Linked DNA regions of Arabidopsis thaliana. The protein of the gene in region 4 purifies or fractionates together with the protein of the main gene of each other region. This does not show direct contact. Each region holds a gene or a part of one and is shown on either strand. Other genes may lie near its edges. The genes, in order: AT2G17360, AT5G25230, AT5G67630 and AT3G09200.

Evidence for each region.
Region 1: the proteins of AT3G09200 (region 4) and AT2G17360 fractionate together in Arabidopsis thaliana (co-fractionation; one large-scale study listed by BioGRID). This does not show direct contact.
Region 2: the proteins of AT3G09200 (region 4) and AT5G25230 fractionate together in Arabidopsis thaliana (co-fractionation; one large-scale study listed by BioGRID). This does not show direct contact.
Region 3: the proteins of AT3G09200 (region 4) and AT5G67630 fractionate together in Arabidopsis thaliana (co-fractionation; one large-scale study listed by BioGRID). This does not show direct contact.

Annotation. Positions count from the first base shown.
Region 1 is NC_003071.7:7,542,618-7,549,352, forward strand, and holds AT2G17360 (Ribosomal protein S4 (RPS4A) family protein), read left to right. Parts: upstream 1-3,822; 5' UTR 3,823-3,980; coding exon 3,981-3,983; intron 3,984-4,376; coding exon 4,377-4,454; intron 4,455-4,537; coding exon 4,538-4,718; intron 4,719-4,833; coding exon 4,834-4,931; intron 4,932-5,095; coding exon 5,096-5,521; 3' UTR 5,522-5,789; downstream 5,790-6,735. Other genes in the region: AT2G17340 (pantothenate kinase), read right to left, coding at 51-179, 263-403, 491-559, 641-707, 884-949, 1,303-1,472; AT2G17350 (beta-mannosyltransferase-like protein), read right to left, coding at 3,086-3,259, 3,352-3,531.
Region 2 is NC_003076.8:8,736,439-8,745,386, reverse strand, and holds AT5G25230 (Ribosomal protein S5/Elongation factor G/III/V family protein), read right to left. Parts: upstream 5,843-8,948; 5' UTR 5,768-5,842; intron 5,690-5,767; 5' UTR 5,679-5,689; coding exon 4,980-5,678; intron 4,909-4,979; coding exon 4,840-4,908; intron 4,765-4,839; coding exon 3,571-4,764; intron 3,481-3,570; coding exon 3,382-3,480; intron 3,286-3,381; coding exon 3,127-3,285; intron 3,036-3,126; coding exon 2,950-3,035; intron 2,865-2,949; coding exon 2,666-2,864; intron 2,582-2,665; coding exon 2,471-2,581; intron 2,378-2,470; coding exon 2,171-2,377; intron 1,892-2,170; coding exon 1,793-1,891; 3' UTR 1,507-1,792; downstream 1-1,506. Other genes in the region: KNAT3 (homeobox protein knotted-1-like 3), read right to left, coding at 7,272-7,311, 7,406-7,542, 7,621-7,752, 7,830-8,014, 8,103-8,223, 8,499-8,948. UniProt on the Arabidopsis thaliana protein: Splicing factor involved in pre-mRNA splicing and component of the spliceosome.
Region 3 is NC_003076.8:26,966,059-26,973,046, forward strand, and holds AT5G67630 (P-loop containing nucleoside triphosphate hydrolases superfamily protein), read right to left. Parts: upstream 3,343-6,988; 5' UTR 3,249-3,342; coding exon 2,500-3,248; intron 2,138-2,499; coding exon 1,477-2,137; 3' UTR 1,320-1,476; downstream 1-1,319. Other genes in the region: AT5G67640 (uncharacterized protein), read right to left, coding at 3,488-3,612, 3,857-4,183, 4,254-4,302, 4,386-4,490.
Region 4 is NC_003074.8:2,821,373-2,828,319, forward strand, and holds AT3G09200 (Ribosomal protein L10 family protein), read right to left. Parts: upstream 3,870-6,947; 5' UTR 3,649-3,869; coding exon 3,394-3,648; intron 3,298-3,393; coding exon 3,229-3,297; intron 2,813-3,228; coding exon 2,714-2,812; intron 2,622-2,713; coding exon 2,229-2,621; intron 2,139-2,228; coding exon 1,992-2,138; 3' UTR 1,716-1,991; downstream 1-1,715. Other genes in the region: AT3G09190 (Concanavalin A-like lectin family protein), read right to left, coding at 278-1,315; PTAC13 (plastid transcriptionally active 13), read right to left, coding at 4,050-4,133, 4,248-4,599, 4,683-4,861, 5,092-5,478; LAC7 (laccase 7), read right to left, coding at 6,062-6,192, 6,314-6,947. UniProt on the Arabidopsis thaliana protein: Ribosomal protein P0 is the functional equivalent of E.coli protein L10.

The DNA.
Region 1 (6,735 bases), on a different chromosome or scaffold from region 4:
ACTGAAGTCTGAACGAAGCATTAAAAGGAAGAGCAAAACAAATGAGTGACCTTCTTCCAAGACTTATTGATCCATTTGGCTTGGAAGTTTTCCAAGTCATCAATGACCCATGGTCGTGGAACCAAGTTTTGACAGCTAGCCAAGAAAGACATACCATCCCTTGAGAAAACTTCAGCAAGCTTCAAGATGTGAAAAGAAAAGAGCCCATAAATTAGGACATGCTTGCTGTGGGAGATACCAAAGAGAGGCGATTGAAAGATACCTGTGCAGAACCAAGATCAAAGATGTTTCCAGCAAATATCCCTCTCACCAAATTCTCTAACCGTTTTCCGTCATCTTCAATAGCATCACTCAGACTGACAACTTGAGGAAATAGTGATATAGCCTTTGCATTCTCCTCATCCTATTCATTGAATGTGAACTCATCTAATCAGAGAGAATAAGTGCTAGCTATCTGAAAACCTCAAGAAAACTGAAAGGAAATTCACACCTTAACTTTCTTGAATATGTCCCTAAATCCTAACTCTCTGAGTACTTGCTCACGAAGTCGGCATAGAAGCTGAAAATAAGCCAAGATAATCTATGAAAAGAAGAAAGCTCACTACACCAAAGGAAAAGATCATGTGGTGTTTATACTTACAATGCCATCTGGTGGTCCGCCATGACTCTCTGGATCTTTCTTCAAGTCTTCAAGAATCCCAGCATATCTTTCAGATTCAAGGTAAGAGATATTAAACGCAAATCAAAAGACTGAAACACTATCTTGAGAATCAAACAAACCACAGGGCACAGCCTTTGTTCTACTTTATGAAGGTGACAATGACAAAAGATTTCATACCAACCAAAACCTTGAGAATTACTACCAATTATGCAAAAAATTTACCTTTCTGCAAATTTTTCAGCTCTAGCAGGAGCATCTGGAACAGTGATATCGCTCTCTGCACGTTTCCTGTAAATGAAACAGCTTTAGAACATAGAGATTTAATGGGATTTTCTGGTTAAAAAACAGGATTGCAACTGTTGCCTATAAGCTTCCAGAAACTACTCTTGATGTAAATAAGTCAAAAACCAAGTAAACCCAGGAAAGTCAACACAAACAACAAACCAACGACATTAGTCGAATTTAGCTGAAAGACGAAAAGTTTCCTGAGCTTTTTGATATTTGAGGCTAAGAGAAGTAGTTTTTTGGTAACAAAATCAAAGCTTGGTCTGACCCATGAACATGAACAGAGTCTGAATCTGGTCAAAGTAAATAGAAACTAAATAAGGTCGGAAGAGAGAAGTAGTGAGAAGAGAATGAACTTGAAAGAAGGAATGGAATTGGCGAAGACGTTGATCCACGAGATTTCATTTGGAGTGGCTTTCTTGGGATCATCAGAAGGAAATCTGTAAGGAATTGTGCAAGCTCTGTAGTTGTTTTCTATTGGCATCGGTAGTTGAGGAAACGGAACCATCTCTGAATCGCTCTCCATTTTCTTTGCTTGTGATGATCTTCAGAAATGATACAATGATTGATGACGATGAAGAACAAGTGTATCTAGAGCCGGGTCGGGTACGGGTCAAAGATCCATATTAGTGATTCCACTACCACACGAATAAATGTTGCATTTTTTGCTTTGGGTTTGGTTTGGATTTAGTTAAATAGTAGCCAAGTTCCTATCTTTGTGGTGTTTGTTTCTGCAAAGTTAAGTTTTTTGTTCTATACTAATCAGTCATCTTTGGTCTTCAAATGATTTGATACCTTATCTGTGGTCGGCTATATTAGCTCGAGCAGCAATCTGAATTGTAGAAACCATTGAAACTCTGGCAAAACTTGCTGTTTGCTGCCCGTATAACCGTATTTGTCGAACATAATATCAATGCCCTCTTGGATTAAGGAGTAACCTGTTTTGGTAAGGAAGCTGGAGATTATAGAAAACATTCATATGCCATAAAGAAGTTCAATTTTGCAGGAGTTTACAATTGTAATCAGCTACTTATCATAAGTGGTAAAACCACACCTAGGCACCTTGACAAGCAAAGAAGCTCTCCCAATTAGAGTGATCCAATACCAACCTAGCCACAACACCTACTGCTTGAATAAAGCCACTGAGGTACAAGTTTGTTTTAGATTTAACTCAAAGAGAGAATGTTAAAAGTAGAGAAAAACATATGGATATTTCCTTTTCATAGATGCATACCGATGTCGGACACAATTCTGAGTCAAGCAAATCTAACAGGACCAGGAAAAAAACTCATCCTTCGGAATAAGATATACAAACCTAGATAAAGAAATTAAGAAACAGCAAGAATATGGAAATAGGTACACTGTACCACAATGTTAGTTCCAGCAGCAAAGCAATTATTACTATTGTAACATAGTGGATAATGGAACCTAGCTCATCTGTCTGGCTATCTGCTTAAACACTAACAAGCCCACTCATACGGGCACAACCTTCTACTTCTTCCCTATGTTCTGAAAAGTGAAACCCCTTAGGTTTGCTACTGGGTGCTGCTTTGCCAAAAGACCAAGCTAACTATAACAGGAGAAGAAATTCTAAATGCTAGTATCTCCCTAATCCCTACCCAAAAACATTTGTTTATTGTCTCTCATCAATCACCATAAATCATGATAGATACTAACACCAATAATCACTCACTCATGCATCCTAGCATCTTTACCCTGGCCACCTTTCATTCTCTTCATGCCACAAGATGTTTACACATTCAAGCAAAACCACATGAAAAATCCTTAAGAACAGAAGAAAACGGAAAGATATGTTCCGGTGTTGCCCCTGTATTTCCTACAAACATCTATACTAATCAAACTAAACCCATCATTCACACATACCGTGATCTAAAAACCTGAATTTCAACATGTCACACAGCAATCAACAAAAGTTTGAATAGAGCAAGAAAGCACCTTGAGGCTTGAAGTGATCAGACAAACTCTCTTTCCAGAAAACACAATACTTTCTTCATTGAATTAATAATTTACACAAACCAAGCATCATTCCAACAATTCCCATTGCATCCATCATAAACGCAAGAACAAATCTTTTCCTTTTGTGCCCTAAATTTAGAATCCAGATTCCAATTTCCAACCTCATTTCTTAGCCTTAGAGAATCTAAGACACCGATATTTCTCACCACTCACAGTAATTTCCAGAGCACCATCTTGATTATCCTGATTCGACGCAGTCCCCATAAGAACACTCTTCTCCTTCTCCAGATTCTCTCTCTCCATCTTCAACCTCGCTTCCTGTCTAGCGATCTCCGTCTGTCAAAATCAGAACAAAATCAGTATCCCCACACAGATTTCTCCGGATTCTCCAAAAGCCCTAAAAATCAAAATTTGAAAAAAAAACGAACCTCACGGCGAGAGAGCTCAGCTTTCCAGGCAGCTTCTCGCTCAGCGACTTCACGCTCACGCTCTTCTATATAACTCTGCATCTCTCTCTCCTTCATGATCCGATCTTGTATATCAGCGTCAAGTGCTTGCTTAAGCTCCTCCACAAACTTATCCACCACTAATTTAATTCTCAGCGACATCGTCTTCGAAGCAAATTCTAACTATATACAAAATCTCCTCCTTCCTCACACTAAACGCTGCTACACATAAATACAATCTCCTCCTTCTTCTGGTTTTCCGTCTTTTACTTACGGCGGCGCTTTACCGACGGCGAGATTCCGATCTTTTCTCGTTGAAGCTTGCGTGAGAACTGAGGAAGAAAGGGACAGAGACATTCACGACCTTTTGTTTTTTTTTCCGCTTTCTAATCTTCTTCAGAGTGGGAAAAATAAATAAAAGCGGGCTCTTATTGGGCCTATATTGGGCCTGTACTTAACATAAGTCACACGTGTGGCAGCGGATTTTTGGATTACACATGTTAAAAACTTAAAATTAGGGCTTTGTGTTTCGCTTCTTCTCAAACCCTAGAAGATATAATTGAGACTGGCTTGCTTAGCCGCGGAGAACTCAGAACTCATTCGCTGCAAACATGGTTCGTAATCTTCGTCTCTTTCTCTAAGTCTCGTATTCACAAGCGTATTGCGTCATGTGTTTGTTTTGGTTTTGGATAGTTTGTCTCCATCTGTGAATTCATTTTGTGCGGGATTATAAAATCTCTCTTTGTAATCTAGATAGCATTTCCATGTAATTATGGGTAATTGTTAATGTTTATAAAGTGAATTCCTTTGTGCGATCTGTAAAATGGGTTAGGGATTGATATTGAGATCTCAAAAGATAGGACTCAATTAGTCAGATATGAAACCTCCCTGGCGTTATTCTCTTGTTCTGTGACTTGAGGTCTTGAGTGATGAGACTTTTAGTGATTGAGCTATTATAAACATTTATTGTGTTTTGATTTTTATTTTTGTTCGATATTCTTTTGCAGGCAAGAGGTTTGAAGAAGCATTTGAAGAGGCTCAATGCTCCTAAGCATTGGATGCTTGATAAACTTGGTGGTGCCTTTGTAAGTTTCACTTGTGTTGGATTGAATCTTATTAGAGCTTAGTTTTCGTTTGATTCGGTGCTTATAATGCTATTTCTGTCCAGGCCCCCAAGCCGTCTTCTGGGCCACACAAGTCTAGGGAGTGTTTACCCTTGGTCCTTATCATCAGGAACAGGTTGAAGTATGCTCTGACATACAGAGAAGTGATTTCGATCTTGATGCAAAGGCATATTCAGGTTGATGGGAAAGTGAGGACTGACAAGACTTACCCTGCTGGTTTCATGGGTGAGTCTGTTAGTGTTGTGATACGTTTTCAGAGTCTGGCTATAGTCCTTGTGCTGATTGATTTTTATGCTTCTTGTGATCAATGATCTAACTAAGGATAAATATTTATTTACAGATGTTGTGTCTATCCCCAAAACAAATGAGAACTTCCGTCTTTTGTATGACACCAAGGGACGTTTCCGTCTCCACTCCATCAAGGATGAGGAGGCTAAGGTTTGTTCTCCTAAATCTCTTACATTGCCATATACTGAATCTGTCAAAACAAAGTCAAGTCTTTATTCATTGCTCTATACTTACATTAGAGGTCTGCTGAATTTGCATGTTGATTACCAGTTTGTAATATATTCCAACAAGTATCCTCTTTTGTTGTTGTGCAGTTCAAGCTTTGCAAAGTGAGATCGATCCAATTTGGTCAGAAGGGTATTCCCTACTTGAACACATATGATGGTCGCACCATCCGTTATCCTGACCCGCTCATCAAGCCTAACGACACCATCAAGCTCGACCTTGAGGAGAACAAGATTGTGGAGTTCATTAAGTTTGATGTGGGCAACGTAGTTATGGTCACTGGAGGAAGAAACAGAGGGCGTGTTGGTGTGATTAAGAACCGTGAGAAACACAAGGGTAGCTTTGAAACCATCCACATTCAAGACTCAACAGGACATGAGTTTGCAACAAGGTTGGGAAATGTGTACACAATCGGTAAGGGAACAAAGCCATGGGTGTCCCTTCCAAAGGGTAAAGGTATTAAGTTGACCATCATTGAGGAAGCCAGGAAGAGACTTTCTGCTCAACAAGCTTGATAGTTAATACTATGCTCTGTTTTCCAGTTTCAGAACAAACCATGCTTTAGTTTGCAGCTTTTCAATGAGTCACTTTTGTTTTAAAACTTATCTTTTCGGATTGTTATGAGCTATATTTTGGACCTTTTGCGCTATTAATATTAAGTTTGAACTCAACCTTGTTTCTTCAGATAGTTATTGAATTGCTTCGTAGTATTTAGGGGCCATTTTGTTAATGTTAGGGTCTTAGGGAGATCACAACTTCTGCTAAACAACAGTAAGATAAATGTATCACTTAAACATGTGGTAACATTCTGATTGATGTTTCAAATTTCCGATCTCGATGTCATATTTCGGTGTGGGAGACAAAACAAGGTTTATGGGTTTGCTCTAGAAAGTCTTACATTGATTATGGTGCACAAGCATACGTGTCTGCTTTAAGAATACTGAAGTCATGTTGATATCGTTATTGTCGCTAGCTTCACGTGGTAGTTGTGGCGAGTGTTATTTTAAAATCGTTAGTAGAAGTTGCTCAAAGATTCTTCTCCTTGGTGACTTGGTCAAACAAAAAATCCTACAAAATGAGAAGAAGATAACAACAAAAACGACACTGAAGTCAATGTCGAACCAAGTGCCTCGGAAATGCAACTACAGTCAGGTATATTGATTGAAAACAATGTATCTCTTGTATGAAATCAAACGCCATGCATGAATCTGTTTTAAGCTTGGGGAAATTATAAGAGTAAATCAAGAAAAATATTCTAGATGATAGAAGCATAGAACATTGATCATGTAACTTCATGACAACAAGAAATTGTCTTCGAATCTTTTTTGATGGTTTTTCTACATTCAAGTTAAAAAAAATGTCATTTGATGTGAACCGGTTCGACTTAGCATATGGTTAATTGAAATCCAGCAAAATAAGAAAAGACTTGAGAATATCTAAAGCCAAAACTGCTGAATTCCAAAAGCCAAAATAGGTGTTAACTTATGGTGGATATAAATATAAATCATAGAGAAAATTTTACGGAGATTGAATAATTAATACCCGCAAAAGGATCGGGAAACTGAATAGCAAAAAGACGAGAGAGAATGAGATTTTACTTCTTTATAATTGAAGTTATGCGAATGTTGTGTATTTTTACAATGAACGGTTTATCGTTCTTTATATAGAGATAAAAAAAAAGATAAAATTTACTGTGTTGGCATAGTAACATTTAAATTTTAAACTACAT
Region 2 (8,948 bases), on a different chromosome or scaffold from region 4:
TTGGTGGATTTGGATAAAAGTGCGTTCGGCTCATATGGTACATTCTCCTATTAAATAAATATGGTGCACTCCTATGTTATTAACTAAAATGTTTAGATTATAATTCAGAGTCATATCATTAATAAAAATAATATTAATAAATAAATGGCTTTTTGGCAAGACGGATTTAGAGGGACGGGTTTTTGAATCAACATTAATAAAAAAATAAAATATAATTAATCCACCGTTTCAATACGGGTTAAATCTTTAATTTATTATTTTCTAAGACCACTAATATTAAACATATCAAATCATCCTAATTTAGAAAAAATTATATAAAACAAAAAATGTTATGTGGTATGTATAATGTTACTATATATAAAATTAAACTATAAAATATAAATGTATTAGAAAATGATACAATTTGCAAAACTTTTATATATAAAAAATAATTCTTAAATTTTAAAAATTACTACTTAAAAAAAAAATCACAGGACGGGTAAAGAAATTACAGAACGGGTTTTATTTTAGAATTGAGTTATATGGCGGATGTATTTGAATTAATATTTATAAAATTTTAAAATATTATTAATATGCTGTTTTAGTAGGGGTTAAAACTTCAGTTTTTTAACAATTGTCTCATGGATTCGTGGTATAGCGTTAGTTAATAACAATTATAAATTGTAAAATATAATATTTTATAAAATAAAATTTGCAAGTTTTAATATATATTACTTTAAAAAAATAAATCGTCCCGCGGTATACCGCGGGTTAAAATCTAGTATATACTCCATAAGGGAATACAATTAATTTCGTATTAAATTAGGTTTAACTTGTTCGATTGCCCACTAATTAGAGTAATGTTTTATTAGTATAAAACTAGAACATTGCTTTATTTGTTGTTTTACTGATACACTTGGTTTATATGTTTATCTTGAATATATTGGTACCTATCCCGAATATACGTGTGCTTATCTAACTGAGATATATATAAACAACTTATTAGATTTTCACTAAAGTTAATTGGTGTAAATTTAAAAATGTGAAATGCCCAATTTGGACGATAGAGATATTTAAAACTCGAACATGGTATAGCTATAGTAAAAATAAAATAAAATACAAAGCTAAAGTGTTTGCAAAGTGATCATGTGTTGTTGAAATGAGTTGTGATATGAATGGCAAAAAATTTAGCCCACGTATAAAAGTTTGGATTAGTCATAGTATACAAAGCCTCTTTACTATAAGCTATAACTCAATCAGAACATTTCGTGGAGTTCCAAAATCCGAAAGTAATACTTCCATCCACTTGAACTTGCATAAGTTGTGTCAAGAGGACACTCAAGTACATCTTTGTGTTGCCAAAAAGATTATGAAACGAACGCAGATGCTAATATGCTATATAAGGACTGAGTCTATATCTAAACCAGTAAAAAGTAAAAAAGTTTTCAAATACTTGTGAATCTCTGTATCATGTGCATAACTAAGCATTAATACATTATAACCTAGTTCAGTTTCCAATAGTCCAATCTATGATTGGTTAGTTGTCACTTCCATTACCATAATTGAATTCGCTTACAATTTACAAAACTTTATGAACATTTCCCGTAAACTGTTTGTGAGTCATGCGTGAGTGTGACCATGTGGACTGTTTAGTTCATTAAAATCTCTCAACTTTAAACGTAAATTTGACACATGAATTACAAAATTGATCCACATTTTCTTGTTCTCCTTTCACATGTATAGAGAAGAGAATATAACTAGTACTAGTCTTGAATCATAGGCTCACGATTGATATGAAAAAGTGCAGAGATGATCAAATCATCTGCAGATGGAGATCGCCTGTTTGCTGGGCAAGCTCTACCATCATCGCTTCATCAAAGAATTTATTCCCGCTGACATCTTCGCTCATTCCCTGCAATACCAACAAATTATACACACATACGGTGAGAGCCTGAAACTGAGGATCCAAACAACCAATGAGTCTACCATATAACTAGCCTAGGCAAATTATAGCTGGTGCTACTTGGTTAAAGCGTAATTAGTAAGGGCTGTTTGTATTTTGGTTTGTGGGAGTTTTCTGGGGTCATTTCAACAAACACTAGAGTAATAAAGCAGTTTACGGTTTCATTTTGTATCAGAAACCGCATCAAAGTTTTGGCATGAGCACTAAAACAAAGGAAATAATAAATACCTTTCTACGGCGGGTCTTGACCATGAATTCCCGAGCTAGATGCTGAATAGGGGCGGGTTCAAGTGGGCGCAATTGGATGGCTTTGTCTAGAGGGTCTCCAGGGACTATGGCCCAATGATCAAACACAGATAGGCAAAAGGCTTGGCCCTGAGTGTGGTACCTCAGATCTGTCTCAAACCCAAACGACTCTATCACAGGCAGAAAAGCCTGCATCAACACCACTCAATGAATCATCATCATTCACTCAAATAACAGGAACAAAGTAAGGAAGGAGAAAGACACAAACAAAACAAAACTAACCTTCACGATATAAGCAGGAGTACCGGGTTGTGGAACATCAGATGTGACATACCCACGTCTACGTGACAAAACTGTGTAGATGGCAGTTACACAGTCTATTGGTGTTTGTATCTGAAGACAAAAACCATAACTACTCTTATTTATCATTCTAAAGAAAAAATTGTGAAGAGCAAAAATGGAAAGAGATATATGTACCTCCACATAGTAGACAGGTTCCATTAGCCTTGGAGTTGCCATAAGAAAGGCTGAATATGCAACACGTCTTGCCGTTGGAATCATCTGACCAGATCCTCTATGCAACGGCTCAGGTGCTATCCGTGCATCAACAATCTTGAACTTTACATTTCTGATGGGCTCATCACAGAGGGGACCTTCACGAGCACCCCACTGGAACCTGCAAAAGGAATATAAACGAAGCCACTTAGCTAAAGCCAACAAAATCGAGACAAAGAAAAGTGTGACAGAAGAAAGATGATCACCCTTGAACAATGGAGTCTTTCACTCCCATCATCAAGTTCCTGTCCACCTCAGTTGGAAGGGTGTCATCCAATAATATGTTTGTCCCCTGATTAGGAAGAAAATCAATAACCATCAGTGAAATAATCAAAACCAACCACAATTGCAGTTTATTAAGAATATAAGCAATGCATTTTCACCTGTTTGTCAGGGCCAAAAGCCCAGATGGAACGTGCAGCAAGTAAATCCCAGTCATATTTCGTCCTGAAGAAGTCACCAAGTTGTACTCTGTTCCAGTCAATGCTTACAACGCCATTCTCAATATCCTCTGCAAGTCCTCTATCCAATGGCTCTGCAATCTTTAGCATGAAACATAATCAGTCACAATGAGCACAATAAGAAACATCGCAGTCTAATATCTAAGGGATAATAGTGGAAAAAGGAATATCTCTTACCATAGTTAGTTTGTTCTTTTTGTTTGGTGTCTCAGCAAAGCACTTCATTGACGAAGATTCAACCACTGTCTCACAGAAGGAGACCACAGGATCTGCAACCTACAAATTTAAGAAAGCGAGAGGAAACAAACAAATCTTAGTAATCAGTTGCACAACGAAATCATAGTCATAGAGCCAAATTAGAGATACCTTTACTTGGACCTCTGAATAGAGTTCCCTGAGGTCCTTGATGATGGAATCCAAGTACAACTCACCTGTGCCTAGAATAGTATGTTCCCCAGACTCCTCAACTTTGGTTATCGCAAGGGGATAGCTTTTGCTAATTTTCCTAAGCCCTTCCACCATTTTAGGCAGCTCACTAGGATTCAAAGGCTCAGTTGCAGTCTTGACTACTGGGAGGGTATTAAATTTGAGAGCCCGGAATATGTAGACATCTTCATCATAACTTGCATTACACAGAGTTGCAGTTTTCATGATGGATGCATCGACACCTTCAATTAAAACCCAAGAACCGGGAGGGGCACTGCTTACTGGTATTCTATACCTAGCTTGATATATCCATAGCTTCGTGACTTCTTTTATAGTCATGTCCTCCTCATCCTCAGGTGAATACCCTTCTCCTAGTACACGTACGCTTTGCCCTGTTTGAAGCCTACCACTATAAACTCTTCCAAACACATCAAAAACACTAGTATCTGATTTGGGGTACAACTTTGTCACATTAACCATGAGAGGTCCAGATGGATCACATTCTACCATTGATTCATAAATGGGAGAATCTTTGGTTCCAGTGTATGAATGGTCCACTTTCCTAGCTGCAGCCTCTCTGGGTGAAGGAATGTGCTTTACCAACATATCAGTGAACCCTGATGCCGAACCAAACACTGAACTACAGGCTAACCTAAGTAAAGGTCTGACGTTCAGCTTATATGCACTATTACTCAGAGTCACTCCTAATTCTGCAAGGGTGGTCTCTACACTCTTCTTATGTTCACCTATCACTTGGCTGTATATCTTGTATAGAGGCTCCAGAATAAACTGAACAAATGCTCTTTCTCCACCACCTACTGGAGGACTTGTATTGAATACCCTAGTATCAGGGTGATAATATACATCTCCCCAAAGTCTAGATGCAAACTTATCCACGTCCATGGCCACACCATGAAGCTTGGCATACATTCTAGCAAAAGATTGTAATGTGAAGGACCATCCGGCTGTACCACTGGCGAAACATACATTTCCAGCTGCAGGGTCTATAAGAGGTAAGTCTGCAGCATTTGTTGAAGCAGCAGATATATGGTTATTAATGACTTCAATTGTATACCTCAGCTTGTAGTAAGCATCCCTTGGAGGTAGTTTGAGCTCAGTTATGAGCCTGTCAACCTGTTGGGCAGACAAAAAGCAAAGGTCAAGCAAATGTATGAAAATATAAAATTTCACACTTTAGGCATGATGTACCTTATTGATCACAACAACAATAGGGAGATGATCCTGGATTGCATGCCGTATAGCTCTCTCTGTGTTTACCTGAAAAAAGATTAATAGCGTTAGTACTACAAATAGTATACTTGAAAAAAGAGAGAGTAAAGACTAGTTACCATGACTCCTTGAGCAGCATCAACAATGAAAACAGCACCATCAGCAAGTCTTAAAGAAGCAGTCATTTCGTCAGAGAAATTGACATTTCCAGGTGTATCCATGATATTGCACAGGTATGATTTGGATCTACTGTCCTCAAGGACAAGAGACATTGGAACCGCCTTGATAGATATATTTCTCTCCTGCTCATCGACTCTTGTGTCCGTATATCTCATATGCTTGTCGTTTTCAGCATTAAAAGTAGACATACGATGCGTCTGCTCTACCAACATATCCATGAAGACAGTTTTGCCGTGCTGGAGATGCCCCACAAGAGCAACATTCCTCACAAGCGCAGGATTAGACATGAGGCCGATAAGAAACAGTGTTGACACATACGTTGTTGTTTGATCCTTGATGACCCCCACCTCAAATCTAATATCTCTAACGGGTTTGATAATGGGTTGCTCAAGAGACTGCTCATCTTCATCCATAACCAAGGTCTCAACATCCTCACCATAAACCTCCTTAGCAATAGGGTAGTACTTCTTATCCTCAGGAAGAACAATATTTTGGTTCTCATTGATAGTGGTAATCCAGCCATTAGAACCCCCAGGCTCTTGGAGATCTTCATCTTCTACACTATCATCACTATCTCTGTCAGATTCAATCTCAGGTCCAATATAGTTACCACACTCACCATACAAGCTACCATCCATCTTTATGTCACCTGTCAAAAAGGAATCTCATGAACTAGCAATCAGAATTTTGTAACGGCCAAATCAAGCACAAAATGTCAGAGACGAACCGGTGGGGCGAGAGAGCGAGAGGCGGTGCGAAAGCTAGAGGAAAATGCGGGTTGGCTCCGTGATAGGGTTTGTCGCCACTGTTTCTGCTATGTGAACGGAGTCGTCGTCGGAAGATTTAAATAGGTCTTTGATTCAAAATAGCGCATTTTTAGATTGATGGGCCAGGTCCAATATCTGTCAATCGGCCCAATTTTGTAAATTGAAACGTCTAAAGTGTAAACCAGAACGTAAACCGGGTTGTATATTGAAAGCTGCAATTTGAAGAAGAAACAAAGCATAACAAGATGGTGGTGGTTATAATGATTACATGAAGACAGTTCTTTACCCTACAGTTGGTAAAAGACCTAATTTGGCTTCTCTAGTTGGTGGGTGATAACGGTAAACTTTTGAATATCACTGTGAAGCATCGTCCAAGAGACCAAAACTCCGATTATTATTTGAATTTAGAAGACTAACACATACTAATGTTAGACTTCGTTTATCAAACCATTTATACAATCCAAATGACAATTCTCTAAGTTAACAACTTTGATGTTCATTACAAAACTACTTATATGAATCTACTTTCCTAGATTTAATCTAATGTACTAATGGGCTTCTCATGAGACTAGTCTTTGAACTTTGTATGGTCCTCTAATAGAGAGGCGACCAAAATACTTAAGGACACTCTAATTATCTTTGTTAATGTGTGCAGAATCTCTCCGTGATCGATAGAAAAATCTCGCCGAAAACTTACAGTAACTTGTGGCTATCACAAACGTGACAAACGAAACAACAAGATGAGGATAAACAAACAATTTTGACTAGAAAAAAGAACACGTTTCAAATTATTACAATTACAAAAGTACGCAGCAAGCTACGTTATGTAAGATGGGGTATGTTTTATTTTTTGTCGTCATCTACCATGTATAATGTCTTTTACTTATCAAGCCAATATCACGAGTTGGAATGTGACATCGCAATAAATACTACGAACTAAGCGGATAAGAATCATAAGATGGGTTAAGTACGGTTAATGCGAAACATATACTGTATAATAGTCACATAGATTAAGCTAACCAAGTGGTGCGATACAAATTAACATATGCACCTGGTCAATGCGTAACATATACTAGTAGATTAAGAAAACTTGTGCATCCCAATGTTCTCCTCTCTCACTATCTTTATTCACAAGATATATTATGGATGATGATGATGATTATCTGATGGTTCATAAAAAAAAAACTCATGCAGACAAACAAACAAAAAACATTAAACAAAAGCCTGCATCTTCAGTTTTCATATTTTCTTTTTGGTTTGTGTGCTACTTAATAAAATATATGGGCATAATCACATAACCAAACTACGTTACTATGTAATTGCACAAAAAGTTACTTTCTAATACTGTCCCCTCTCTCTGTATAATCCAAACTCCTCCATAAAATTCTCAACTTTAAATCCCTAAAACCCTGCTTTCAAATCCCATCTTCCACCTCCCCAATTCACATCATATGTTTGTTGTTTCTACGCGAACCGCTCTCTTCCGCTATTGTCACCTGCATTGCTTTCATCAGACAAACAAAAGTTTCAGTCTTCTTTGAGTCCGATCCATAAGTTTTTCGGTTATGTTACAAGACTATATTAAAGTATAATAATACCTTTTGCGTTTGTTCTTCAATACAGTGGAAGAAGATGGATTGCTATGCCAGTTCCTCTTTCTCTGATTGATGAACCAATTGTTTATCTGTTTTAGCTGCAAACCTGTCTCTTGCACCAACCTCGCCTTATCTTCCTCCTACAAACCAATATTTGGTTATGGCTCAATGAATGAACTTGAAGAAGTTATAAAGAGATGTTAGATGAGTGAACTCACAGTAGGGTAAGGCCATTTGGAATGAGATTGCCACCAAGCTTTGAGAACAGAGGTGGTATCTCCTGGTAACTTCCCAGCTCTTCTCTTCCTTAATATCTCCTCTCTTATGTCTACTATCTTCTCCTTGTAACCCTTTTCATCAACAAGACAAAGCCCTCTACATTGTTAGTTCATGAACTAGTTCAAAGAACAAGTTTGTTGATTATTACCTGTTTGAGTTCATGTTTAAGTTCTTGTCTAACTCTTTCCATCAACGACCTCTCACTCTCAGTAGGAATCAAAGGACCAAAACCCAACACATCTAATCCCCCATCGAACATATTAGCATCACTCTCTACTTGTTCATCTTCATCGTCAGACATTGTTGCTCCCATCCCTTCTCCAGGAGACACTCCTAATCTCACCAATAAAACACAAAACTTGTCAATGTCATAAAACTAACTATTGGATTCATGAGCTAATCACAGGATTCATTTTCTCACCTGTTAAGCTTTGAAGAGACTGCTCAATCTCCCAACAAGCCATCACAGCTTCCATTGCATGAACACGCACATGTTGTTGCAATTGCTCTTTAAATGAACACAGTAGCAACACATAATGTGTCTACACCATAAAAAAAACATTAATCAAACACACAATAAACACAAAGAACAAAATTTGTATTTTCTTCATCATCATGACCATTATTATATCATAAGCTCTTTTTTTGGGATTTTAGTCTTGTTTATCCCTAAAAACACAAATCTTGATTTTAATATTTTAAGATTTCAAAAATCAAGAAACCTAAGTCGGTGTGTATTATTAAAATTTGTGCTAAGTATAATTATGAAATCGTTAATTATAAAATTATAGAACAAAAAAATCTGAAATTTATATACCATGAACTGGTCAAGTTCTTTATCGTCGCCGACGAGACCTTGAGCGGCGGCGCCTAAAGCTGAGTATTTAGCGACGACGTGTTGAGACTGAGCAAGCTGAGCATCGATTCTCGGAAGCTGATCAACCGGAGTCGCGATTCTCAAACAAGCAACGTGCGCCGACAAAAGCTGCTCGTAAAGAGGATGCGAAAGGATCTCCGCCTTGTGTCTCGCATTCTGCCAGCTCACTACTCCATCCGCCGCCGTAGCTCCTCCGCCGTCGTTTTTGTTTTCTCCACCGCCGGTTTTCATCTCTCCCTGAATCATAGTGTCTGCTCCTCCGGTGACATCATCGATCCCATCTCCGACTATGGAAGCGTTGTTGTTGTTGTTTCGTTGGAGGAAAGAGGAGGAGCGAGATAGCCACTGGTTAGCAGCGGCGGCGGCGGCGGCGGAGGAAGGAGAATCGGA
Region 3 (6,988 bases), on a different chromosome or scaffold from region 4:
TATTTCTGATGTATAATGATAATGACATTTGAATTTTATATGAAATTAATAAATGTTATTAAGGATCTTGCATATCGCAACCAATGAATTAATTAACAACATGTTTCATTCTCTTGAATTATTAAGTTGACTAGAGGTTATGGTATCTAATTAAAAACCAAACTAGACTGTAAAATTTAATCAATAACCATCTTTTACTAATACTATTCAACAATTTTCATTTAGAAAGTAATATATTGATGATTTGATAACTAATTAAAGGGGAAATAATAAATAATTAAGAAATATTTTCAATATGATCAAAGTTTTTTTTTTTTTTTTTTTTTTTTAACTTTATGTAATTTGTTTTATGTATGGATTGATTGCTGTTTTTATGGCTTCAATGTGTGATACGAATCTCTGAAATGATATCCGAGCAACACGTAAAACTATGTCCAATTTTACATGTTATTTGAACTAAAGTGTAGTTGATAACAAAATCTTTATGGATTTGATTTATTTGAATATTCATTCACATATTTCTTATCACAATCCGATTGTTTTTTTGTTTTTTTCATCATATCACAATCCGCATCATATCACAATCCGATTGTTTCGAAGAATAAAAAGTACTATTACAAATAAAGGCTGTTCCAAAGGAAGCTGTTGATTCAGAGTTACGGTAACAGTGAGAATGATAAAATGTAGTATGGGACCCATGACGAGTTGAATCAGATGTCACAATGGCAGAGTACCTAAAGACACTGCGACTCTTTACTGTCAATAGATTTGTTCGACTTTTTATAATGCATATTTTTGGTTGGATTCACCAGCGTGTGATGTTTGTTTTTTCTAATTACTTGCAAGCGATGTGTAAATTAGATTAATTCAATCCATGAGTTTGGAACAATTTGTTTGGCCTTCTATCATTAACTCTTGTTCTACAAAGCCGTTTGTTTTGAAATCTTTATTCAAGAAATTCAAGGACACACGTTTATTCATAAATTTAGATAATATTTCACTAAATAAGTTGAAATTGACCCGACCAAGCAAAATAAATTCGTTACACCAAAACACGCCACCAAAAACCGATGAAGTCTGGTAAGAGAACACTCGTAATTAATTTACTCTGATGGTAGAGACTTGCATGCGTGTCAAATTTTGCGAACAACACACGCTTACATGTATTTAATGATAAGAGAGAGATTCACTATACTCGTCAATATTGGGCTTAAAGCCCATATAAAGTCTTAACGGGCCAGACTAATTTAGTAAAACCATCTCCTACAGTCTAGTCTAACCGAACCGAAATAAGTTGACCAAATCCAAACAAAATCAAATTTGTACCAAACCGATCTGTATTGAACTTGGTTAAATCATTTTCTAGAACCGAATCTCGTCACAACTTAAAAAAAAAAAAACATAAATCCGAGTTCAACATCCTAATCATACATATCACCACGAAACATGATAAATAAGGCAAACAGAGGTGGATCCTCAGATCTGCATAGCATCTTGTTCGTCTTCTGCAGCAGCTTCATCGTTTTTGATTGGTTCACTGAACATATACTGACTCTGATACTCAACAAGATACTGCATCGATCTCCTCACATCCAAGAACAGTCTGTAAACTCTCTGAATATCCTCAACCTCCACGACTTTCCCTTTCCGTTTCTGGCATGACAATGCAGCTGCGGTTATAAGATGAATCGCATACCTTAGAGATGTATCACGTCCGATCAATGTCAAAAGCTGTTTGGCCTCTTCGTTCATCTCAACGTCTTCCTCTTGGCAACGGATTTCTAATATCTTCCTTATGTCATCGTCTGTGTAAGGTTGGGTAGTGATGATGAGAAGACGGTCAAGGAGATCAATCGGGATCCCGTGTGGTGATTTCTGGTTTGTGCCACGGATTGTCGTCACTCCTCGGTTTGTTGCCACCACAAGGATTGGTGACATTTCGTTTTCTAGAGCTCGGTTAAGGAATGAGAAGCATTCGATGTCGAGCATGTGGACTTCATCAATGAAGAGAACTCCGGGAACTATCTCTGCTTTTCCTTCTTCTCTCCATTCAGCTACTTTTGTATCAATTTGTTCCCGGACTTCTGATCGGATTTCTCCAGTATCGCCAGTGAAAAGGGCAAGAAACCCTTGTGTCCTGCAAGCAAACAAAGAAGAAGTACACAAAGTTACTTTTTTTTGTTCTACCAATCATGTTTCAAACATTAAATTCCGCAACCAAAATTGGTTCTAACGATACCACAAACAGATGAGTTAGTTATAGTTATAAAGAGTGCTCTGACTACACACTGCTAAAGAAAATGAGCTTGAGAATTTCAAGAGCATATAAAGCAATGAATTAATCTCAAATTTGAGACATCTCATCTGAAATTAGTGAGCCAAATCAACTAAATTCCCAATCACCTAATCACTAAAACTTCAATTTTGCAACCTACATTGGTATTGCAGATACCAAATCATGATTACCAATGTTTACAATTCAGGGAATGTTAAAAGTACCTGCTGTTGATAACATCAATCTCGTGAAGAGTGACACAATGTACAACCTCTTTCCTCTTCTGCAACTCACCTTCAGGGCACTGCACAAACTTGGTCTGCGCACCCATAGCATCATAATCACGAGACCTCGAAAACGATCTTCCAAGCTTAGTAATCTTCCCAGTAGCTTTATCAATGGCAATAACATCACCACTCTGCACTTTCTCCTTGTTCAAAGCCTCAATCATCTTAGCTCCCATATCATACACAGTTTCCATATCAGTCGTTTTCATAGTCATCTTCCCTGACTTGGAAGCAACACCAGAAGAAGCAGGCCTATCAATCTGAACCTCAACAACTTCTCCTTCAATAACCTCTGTCTCTTCTTTGATCCTAACACCAATCGCTTTACGAAAAGACTGAGTCAAAGCTTCTGTCTTTGACATCTCTAATGAGAAAATTTCACTTCCTGCAATCATCGCAAAAGGAGTTTCCAAGCCAAGAGATTTCGCCATACCCATTGCAATCGCTGTCTTACCCGTTCCGGGTTGACCCGCTATTAGAATAGCCCGACCCGCGATTTTCCCTTCTCTAATCATCTGAAGGATTACACCGGCGGCTTTACGCGCCTTCACTTGACCGACCATACCTTCGGAAACAGCTCGCGGCTCGAGGGCAGAGTCGAGACCTAGTCCTCTGATGTGTGAGTGTGCGCCGATTCGCTCGACTCTGGTTAAGTCCCGACTCTCTGATAGCTTTAGTTCCGCCATATTCGATTATCGTCTTCGTGCGATTGAGGCGGAGGGAGAAGAGCAAAAAGTTAAGGTTTTAGGGTTTAGAGAAAAGCTACACAATGGCAATGACGATGTAAGAGTTAAATCCTCTTAACAAGGGCATAAAAGGAACTCACAAATCTTATAGACGAGAATTATAAATTTAGTAATATACCCTTGAATTATTAAAGATGAAGTAATTAACTCTTAGATAAAGGTCTGTGATAATTTGAACCCTAATTAGGAATTTCAGGGATTGCATTGGATCCATCCTGGATATTCTTAGAACTCTCTTTGGCCAGTTTCTTAGCATTTCTTCTCTTCTTGACTTTTCTCGTCTTATCATTGTCACCGATTAGTCCTACCAAACAAAAAATAAAGAGTCAGACGCGTAATGTAATTAATACACAAAAGAGAACGTTTGAGTAATTTGCACAGGACCAACAATGAGACAACAACTTGATGAGCTAGTAGATTTTGATTAAAGTCAAACCCTTGATCTGAATACGTACATGTGTTATGAAATCTAGTTAGATAAAGTACGAATTTTTCCCAAAAGATTTGAAACTAAGGATATCGTCAAAAAAGTCAAAAGCTGTGTGTACCTTCTTTCTTCTCTTGGGCATTTGGTCGAACAAGTTGTGAGCATATGTTGCTAATGCTCCCATCAACCTCTTCTTCGCCACCGTCAGAATCTTCTTCTTCAACATTGCTCCCACAAGCATCTCCGACACTTCTTTCATCATGGGTCTGAAGCATTTCAGTCGGAAGTAAAGGTCCGATGACTTTCTTCCGTCGAGCTGCTTCCTCTTTGAGCATCTTCTTCCTTAACCTCTTTCTCTGCGCTCGACTCTGTTTCTCTGCAATCCCCAATTCGTCTCCGATTTCTTTGTCTTCTCCGTGATTAGATGAATCGATTTTCAAGTAATCCTCTGAATAATAAACAAATTTGAATGTGACTTCCAAAGTGTAAATAACTTGTTAAGATTACATTAATCGTACCTGGGTTTATGAGTGACACATCGAATGGTTCGTTATCAACAACCTCCACCTGAAACAATGGCGGGAACATTTATCGATTCATAACCCAATCGAGAACTAACAAATTGACACAAATAGAGATTGAGAAAATACCGGAGGCGGAGAATAGGAAGGAGAAGAAGGTGGCGATGAAGGAGGATACAGTGTTTGAAGAAGAGCTTCGTGAAATTCTCGACGCTTTTCTTCTCGCCGTCGCATCGTCGGCACTTGGCAGCGAAATCTCCGTCTAATTCATAAGATGTGTAACTTTTTTTTTTTTTTTTGTTCATTATGTCCCTAAACTTTAGTGGTAACTGTATTACTACTCCCAATTTTTTTGATATAGTATTGCACCCACACAAGTCAAAGAGTTCACGTCAAATGTAACTAAAACTTTTTTTTTCCTTCTTTCTTTAATAAACACATTTTAAAAAAAAACACATTCTTATTCCATGATTGCAGGAAAAGTCGGATTCACGAATAGATCTTGCTAAAACGTCAAAACTTGACGAAGAAGCAATAAATGATAAGATCGAGATCGATTCTAAGGGATCGATATCGACAAGGTTTTGCAAGTCCTCCTTACAGGGCTTGAACACAAGCTCTTAGGGTTAGGAGTCCTTTTTTATAGGCTTTACACAAAACACTCTTTAAAACTCTTTAATCAATAATCAAAACTAATTACAATACTAAATTACGTCTTTTCAAATAAGAGAAAGATAAAAAAAAAAACTAACATAAAAGAGAAGCAAACGAATACAAGTACTAAAAGGCTAAATAAACATGAAGCCCATGAGAAACAAAACCCAAACAACGAGCCAGCCCAAACGGGACGAACAACACGTTCGTCTTTGAGATACGCTGCATCAGCCCTTCTGGGTTAGAAAGATTCGACCCAAATCTGAAATCTTTGAAGACATCCTTTGTCCACCAATTCATAATACTTTCTCTTAAGAACTTTATGGCGTTTCCTTTTCAGCCTCAAGAGCGACTTGCTAAAGCTTCCTCCATATAAAAACTTTGTTAAATGAATTCCAAGATTCCTTGAACACATGTGACCAAGATATCCTCTGTCTTTTTGGATAAACTCATCACCTCGCAGATCTTTCCTCTCCATTTAATTGTTGCCTGCATATCCAAGCTGAAATCAAGTAACTTTCACATGAACACAACATTGACTGCATTCATGTTCACATGTCAAGAGCTTGCTTGTTGTGTAAGCAACGTCACTCCAACACATAAATATTGTGGACATGTAACAGAAATCCGATTGTGGGTTACGAACAGTTCTGTTTACCCATTTAGAAGCTCCACTCAATGCTGACTTGATGTTGACAAGATCCTGGTGGTGGTGCAAAATGTGGACCTTTGACAAGTCACCGACAAAAGGTACGGCGTCGAAAGAACTCATTACAACCAAAAAGCGACTGTTCTCGTGAATAGTATGATTTCCGAAAAGTCCACAAGTGTTGATCTCGTTACAATTCAACACATTATCCTTCCACCTAAGACATGTTGCGACCCCAACGTAGAACCCCAAGTGTTTGATAAACACATCTTCTCTTCTCTTTTTAGAAGCCACAAATGAAAAAGTATCCCACAGCAGCCAAAAAAATGTAGAAGTCTCCCAGCCAACAAAGCCACTTTCCAATAAAGATTCAAATGGAGGCACCAGATGTTGAGCAAAATAGACAAAACAAAAAGCATTTTAGACTCTCACTATCTGCACTTCACCAAAGTCCATTGAAACGCCCATATAAGACATCAAAACATGGACGAGAAAACACACTTCACTCTGTTCTTATGATTCCCTCTGTTCACAAAAAGATTTTCTAGAATGGAGAGATCAAGTAGGCGGTGATGGTGTAACTTCGTCATATCCGGCATGGCTCCACAGATTAGTACAACATCTTTAGACTTATTTATAGCTTGCCGAAAGAAGTGAGGATGAAGAAGAACTAGCTTCATATGGGGAAGACGATGCTCATGAAACTGGTTTGTTGTCGCTTACACCGTAAACTGTCCGTAGAGTGTGTATTGATAAGCAAAAACTTCTTTAGCCTTTTATCTTGCGAGAAGAGATAACCTCACAACTTGGCTATGCGGAGAAACATAAAACAATGTCAATGGTGGTGGGAGTAGCAGCTACTAAACACCAACTCTATCTTTATGTGATCAAAGATAAAGTTGCACATGTTACTCGGCCCACTATTTGGGCCACAATAAGGCCCACAACAAGACAAACAACAACTCAACAATACTGGGCCAAGAAGATAAAAGCCCAAGCGTAGAGCCCATCAGCAGTACACTATTTTCCCCTCCCGCGCATCCAACAACTGAAATACTTTTCTTCTTTTACAAGCTTCATCCGTATTGAGAAGGAGACACATGGAATTGGTGGCCACATAAGACACCCACGTAATCTCACGTGATAATAACGTCATAACTATGTTATTGTGAACAAATAAACCCACCACACATTTCTTCTCTAAAATCAAAGCTCCAAATATAAAGAAGAAAGCAATGTGATTTATGATATTTACGTCTTCGTCGGAGATGTCACGTTGGAGCCAAGATGGAATTTGCAGTATGATTTCTTCTTCCAAACCCCAATTCAAAAACTCTGTTATTGACTGGCACATCTTTTTTTCATCCTCTTTTTGATTTCTCTCGTAACTCACATGCAGATCTGCTCACATGGAAATCTTCTCTTATCA
Region 4 (6,947 bases):
CAAAGTGAGAAAAAGACAGTGGGTGTTGATTTTTGCTTCCGATCCAGAAATATAAAACATGTTAAATGCAAGATCAATAAATTAAGTTATTTTGCAAGATCAAATAAGCTTACGGCTTCTTTCATAGAGATTGTACATGTGAAACCTGCAACTAACGAAGCAAATAAAAGAAAACACTAAATAAAGATAACACCAGAGGAAGTGGAAGAAGGTACTACATTTACACTACAACAAGACAACCTTCTTAAACCAAAGCCAAAGCCAAACAAACTTCTCATTACTTCTTGCCATCTTTAACTGCAACGACCACAATGCTCACTGCACATTCCTCTGGAACCACGGCCATTGACCGCCTAACACTGCAAATAGTCCAAAGATACATAGCTGACATTGCCCCTACGGCTCCACATACTGCAGCCAAGACCAGAGCACCAAGCATTCTCCATATACACTCACTATTTTCTCGGCCCTCTTCCATTTCCGTGGAAACGTCCGGCTTCAAACCTTCATTTGGTCCTAATGGCGCTGGTTGCACCCATATCGGATCAAGATGCCATATTTCAAAGCTCCATGAATGGAGAAAATGTGGCTTGGAAGAGTTCCCATTAGCAGAGCTTAAACCCACCATGACTTCACCACCTTTCCAAAGCTTCTCCAAGTCTACCGAGAAAGAGAAGAACGGATCAAACATCTTTATCGAACCACGTTTTCTGAAACGAACCCTCATTCTCTTAGAACTTGCCTCATAATCAATCATACAGCTCAAAATCCCTCCATCATCCATCATCAAGTCACCCACAAACGAAAGGTTTCTAATTTTGGCAGACTCAGGTCTACCAATTAAGACTCTTGCACGGTTTCCTCTCTTGGAGATATCAAACTCAAAAGCAACAACTGTCTCGTTCTTTGCATACTCTAATAGAAACCCTAAAGCAGAGGAACTGTAATCTTTCTTACCAAACAGACTAAGATCCAAAGTACTTGGAACCATTACAAAAGCCAAGACATCACCAATCTCATTGGGCATCGAAAACGAGAAGTAAGTCGAGAAAATAACGGAGTTCCTCTCTTTACCTTGGAATAGATTGATGGGTTTCTTGTAAAAGACTCGTCCCTCGGTCCGATTCACTGAGTCAGTCAGCTGAATCGAAGAACTGTCATTGACCAGCTTCGAATCTCCAAACAGAGCAACACTCTTGTCAAAACTCTGAGATTTTACGAATTCATCAAATGAAAACGTGAAATCCACACCTGCGGTTCCATGTATCTCAAAGCATAAAAGGACCAGAAAAGATAGGGTTTTGAATATCGCCATAGCTATACTGAGACTAAAATTGGTTCTCTCTGATTTAATGACTACAGAGACGAGCTCTTCTCTCTCTCTTACTCACTCACTCACTCTTCTCCTTCTAAAAATGGAATTTCTAGGATTTGAGAATGACTTCCATTTTTTCAAGAAGTATTTAAGTTTGTTGTTTTGTGTGGAACTATGCGAAGAAAGCAGAGGAAGAAGTTAAATATCATCAACACATGCAGAGAGATTGATTCGTTCTCAGTCCCACTCACTTTCTCCCTCGTAGTGGTTGCTGACTAAGGTTAATGCCGTTTCTGATTTGTATCTCAGTTTTATTACATTCTATCATGTTTAGCCTCATTTACTTTTAGAATATGACATTTGTGCCTACTTTCTAAGAAATAAAATGACTCAACTTGTAGATCTAAGAAGATTCTGCTTCATACAAATTTTATCAAAGTCATGTATAAGAAGCTCTTAACTTTCTCGACGGATAGATAAATTGCAAATTCATCGTCCAGACATTATTGAAAAATATTAAAGCAACCATAAGAAAACGAAATCTTTCCAAAAAATAAAAGACAGTAGTAACATAAAACTGGATTGGCTAAAACCAAGAAAATTGAGGTCCAACATACTAAAAACAAAGCAACACTTATAATCCACGACAAAAAGGTAAGATCTTAACCGACAAAATCTACTCTTCATCGAACAAACCGAAATCACCTCCATAGTCTTCTTCGTCGGACTCTTCCTTCTCCTCTACCTTAGCAGCAGCTGGGGCACCACCACCTGCATCAGCAGACACCGCAGCTACTGAAGCAACAGCAAACTTGCTTGGATCCTGCATTCCAGAGAGTTAACATAAACAAAATCAGTACTCCAAACTTCCGAAATAAAATGAAAAAGATGCACAGTTTTAATGCATACTAACCTTCAAGTATTCCTTGACCTTCTCTGCTTGAGGGAAGGTGTACTCAGTGGCAACAGCAATAGCCAAGGCATTCTTGTACGCATTGATGAACATATGCGGTGCAGCAGCAAGGGTAGGGTACGACACAGCAAGAGCCAAGGAAGTGACCATGGAGATACCAGAAGCAAACTTCTCCACAAGTTGGTCTTCAGTAAGATCAAGAACCTCTGGGCTGAAGACTGAGCCATTGTCATAGACAGACTGGACAACAAGACCATATGAGAACGGCCTGATGCCAAGCTTGGCTAGAAGCGCAGCCTCAGAAGACCCGACCTTGTCACCTTGCTTGATAAGCTCAACTGGGGTGATGATTTCGACGGTACCCTTGTTAATCTTGGTTGGGATGTTAAGCACCTAAAACAATCCAAAACACATACATGTTCAATTAACTTCAAATTGTCGTCAAACGAATCAAATCAAACATTAAATGTAAGTTTAAAACAAACCTGGAAGAAAGATGTTTGGGATGGGTCGAGACCAGTGTTGCCAGGTTGGACAACCACATCAATTGGAGCCACCAAACCCACACGAGCAGGGGCACCAACCTGATTCATAATAAGAAAAGTTCCATTACAATCGAATCACATTGAAAAAGTATCAACATTTTAACCCAATCATATTGCAAAAGCATCAACATATTACACAATCCAATCACGTTGAGAAAGCAACAACATTATACATAAGTCAATCGCATTGAGAAAGCATCAACTTTTTACACAATTGATGAGCTCTACTTGGGATGACTGTAATACTCATAGGAACACAGGCAATATAAACAGAAACGTAAGCAAGAAATGATTACACTATACATCAGATACCATCGAAAGCAACACAAGTAAATTCAGAACATGTATAAACTAATGTAAGCATGAAATGATTCCTCTATGCATCAGATACTTACTATCCGAAGCTATAATCACACATTTGTAAATAAGATATGAAACAAGAGCAATTAACAAACCTTGTACTTAGCAACCTCCTCGCTCACTTCCTTGAGGTCACCTTTGGTAAAGATCAAACCAACGTTTCCCTACAAAAAACGAACACAGAACCATCGCAAATTATTTTCTAAACACAAACACATCGATAAAATCTCAATCATTTTGGACAAGCTAAGAAAGTTTACCTGAAGGAGAGGAAGCAGATTCAGGATTGCAGTGTTTCCGGTGTTCTCAGAGTGAATCCTAACGGAACGCTTCATCATAGTGTTCTTCCCCATAAGCACGACGGAGTCTCCACGAAGACCCTTTCTGATGTTCTGAAGCTGAGTTGATCCGACGTTATCGGCCGCAACGACCAAGATCTGGGTGTACTCATCGATAAGCTGACATAGCTTGGTATCGTAGGCGATCTTCTTCTCTGCCTTAGTTGCTTTCACCATTTTCGCTCACAGGATAAGTTACGAGACACAAACTCAATTTAACTCTGTGTATAGAGAGAGTTTGACGTAAAGAAATTAGGGTTTTGGTATCAGCCGTTTTATAGTTCACGATTTGGCCTGAGGATAAGGGAACCTCTAGGGTTTTCTTTGTGAATCTTAATCTAACGGTTCGTGCCTGTTTGCTTCATTCTGATCTGACGGCTCTTGTTTGTTGGGCCTTTTCACAAATTAGGCCCATTTAACCAGTAAAGGCTCTCATCTTTCAAATGAAGATAGAACGTCGTCGTTGCAATCGTTTGGCGAATTTAACAGAACAAACACACCAAAACTTCCAAAACATGTGAAGTGATCATGGATTTATATTTCAAACCAAAAAATTCACATTCTAGTGAACAAACTATTTAAGATTGAATCTCAGGAACAAGTTCATTGATGTCAATTTCCACTAGTGTCTCCTTCCCAAACAAAGTAAATCCCACCGTTGCCTGCAACCAACCATACGAAAGAATCAGAGAGACATCTAAACAAACACATTTGTGCAAATTGACCAGCTTTGTTATCAATAACACAAAGGAGCTAGAAGTAGTTAGTTAGTGTACCTTTGCAGTTTTGCGGTTTAGTTTCTTTAGGTTCCCAACAAATTCAGCAAATGTCCCTGATAAAACTCTAACTGTAGAACCCGCTGCAAGTTTCTTCTTCTTCGCCTTTGTTTCAGTAGCAAGTGTAGCTTTTCTCGGGGCTCGTTTCGGTTTAGATTCTGCTACAGTCTCAATAACATCTGAATTAGATAATGCGAGAAGTTCCTGTGACGCTAGTATACTCGCTTCTTCTTCAGCTCTATCTGCCTCTTCGAACTCACTATCTGCTTTCTCTTGCGCTTCTTTTGCTTGTTTGAAAATAGCTTCCAAGTCACTGTCATCTACTGGTCTTGGTTTATTAATCTGTCTCTTGCTACAAAAAAAAAATGCAGATACAAATTAATTCACAGACCTTAACACACATAGGGTGAGAGTGAGAGTGAGAATACTACTCACGTATTTCCAACTTTTGAACCTATGAAACCTCCGACTCCATCAACGTCTCTTATGGAGTCATGTATCTCTTTGTTCAATATACATCTGATGAAAATGCAACCAGGGAACACTGGTTTCGGTTTAACAGATATAGAACCGTTCTTTAGCTTTCTCTTCACTTGAACAGATGGTGCATAAACCTGGACAACCAAATTCAAAAGCCACTTGTTTCAATACCAATGTATGAATTCCCCACAAATTCTAAAGATCACACAATAACCCAAAATCAAATCTTTTCACTTTCCATCAACAACTGTTTAGAGTTTGTCAGCAATTCTATCAAGATACCAGTTTGATCCAATCTCATTGTCAAAATCCAAACTTTAAAATCACCCAACACAACCCAAATATCCAGTAAAATTCCAATTACCGTGAATTCCATTTCAGGGAATTGACGAGCCAGAGCTCGAGCTAAGATTTGAGCAGTCTCATGACCACGAAGTCTCGAAACCCTAACCGCCCACCATTGCGGACCCGACTCAGCCAAAGTATCCAAATTCAGCTCCTCCGTCCACGTTGCATACCGTTTTTTTGGTTTCTTAATCAACTTTTCTTCAACTTCTTCTCGCCAGCTATACCCCAATTTACTCTCCCGCCGCTCGTTCCGGAGCTGCCGTCTCTCCTTCGCCGTAAGCTGGTGGTTCCGCTCGATGACACAGGCGGCGATAGAGAATTGGGTTTTGTTGATTGGCGTATAAATCGACGGGATTAAGCTGCTACGACTCCACTGGAGAAGTCCCCCTTGCAGCTTCATCATTCTCTGTTTTTCTTTTGGGAAAATTCCGTTGATAAAATTCTCTGTTTGTTTTGGATAATGTTTTGGAATTTGTTTAACCGGGAACCCGGTTTATCCCAAATGCCGGTATGAAACTAAATCAGATTAAAATTACCGGATTGAAGTAGTAATTAAACTGCAAATCACAAAATTGGAGTACTTTACAAAGATATGGGGCACTAACTTTGTATTTTAAAATTTTGAATAAATATTTTTCGGGTAATGTCTAGATTACAAATGTTTTTAGCTTATGCAAATTATCAAAAACTGTTTTTTTCTTGTTCTATAAAAATGTTTTTAATTAGTAGAACTTTTATTTTGGTTCAAGTGACGTTCTTTTCAAAAATATCAAATTAAAACTTGTAAAAGTGACAAAAATAATAATAAATCATATAAATTACTCACAGCACACACAATTGGTAACAACATATGAATGGACTACAATACAATTTCTTTACCGACTACATCAAAACAAATGTGAGACAGAGAGACAAATTTTTGTCTTCTTTGCTCTAAATAATCTTCTTTTTATTGTTTTCGATGAAATATGTTTTTTTTATCTTGCTTAACATTTGGGAAGATCTGGTGGTGGCGGTGGCAAGGTGGTCGACTTGGTCGGTCCGTTCTTAACCACAAATATCATCCCTAGTCCGAATGGTAAGTGAACATCGATATGACAATGAAAAATCCACGCACCTGAAACAATGTAGCCAATATTTAGGTTTCATGCATAAACAACAATAATAGCCTTTGTAAAACTCTAAACTATATAATTACATTTTTAGTATAACTAAGGAATTGGATAGAGAGTTTATACCTGGATTATTAGCAGTGAAACGGATCACAGCCCATCCACCAACAGGGACAGCCAAAGTGTTACGGGATTGCGGGTCAACGAGATTTAACTTGCTCCGGTCACGGCTCGGGTCATAATTACCAAACCCTTGAGCCAATACATGGAAATTAAATCCATGTAGATGCATGGGATGACTCTCCGCCGCTATAAGCGCATGGTTCTGTAACACTACCTCCACCGTCGTATTGAATTTCAAAATCTTGGCGCTAGTTGATTTTTGAGTGAACAAAAGTCCCGGGTTTGTTTGGGTTACGTTCGGGTTCGTGTAATCAAACTTAACCGGAGGCTGGTCTGGAAAATCCGCGGTGAAAATCCCTTTAACGTCGTGAAACACTGCTTCCAAGATCGATAGCTTCTTGGGTAACACGAAAGAGTGATTGCTCATAGAAGCTGAGAATTTTGGACACGTGGTGTTATCTGCGCATGCCTCTAGCCCAAGACCGATGGTTACGAGCATCTCTTCGTCCACGTAGCGTGGAACTGGAACCCAGTGAGGTCCATTGACTAAGGCAGTGAGGTTGGAGTAGAATCTGTAAGCCGTTAACGTGTCGAAGAAGGAAGGTAGTTTCGGCATCAACACGGGCTTTGATCGCCC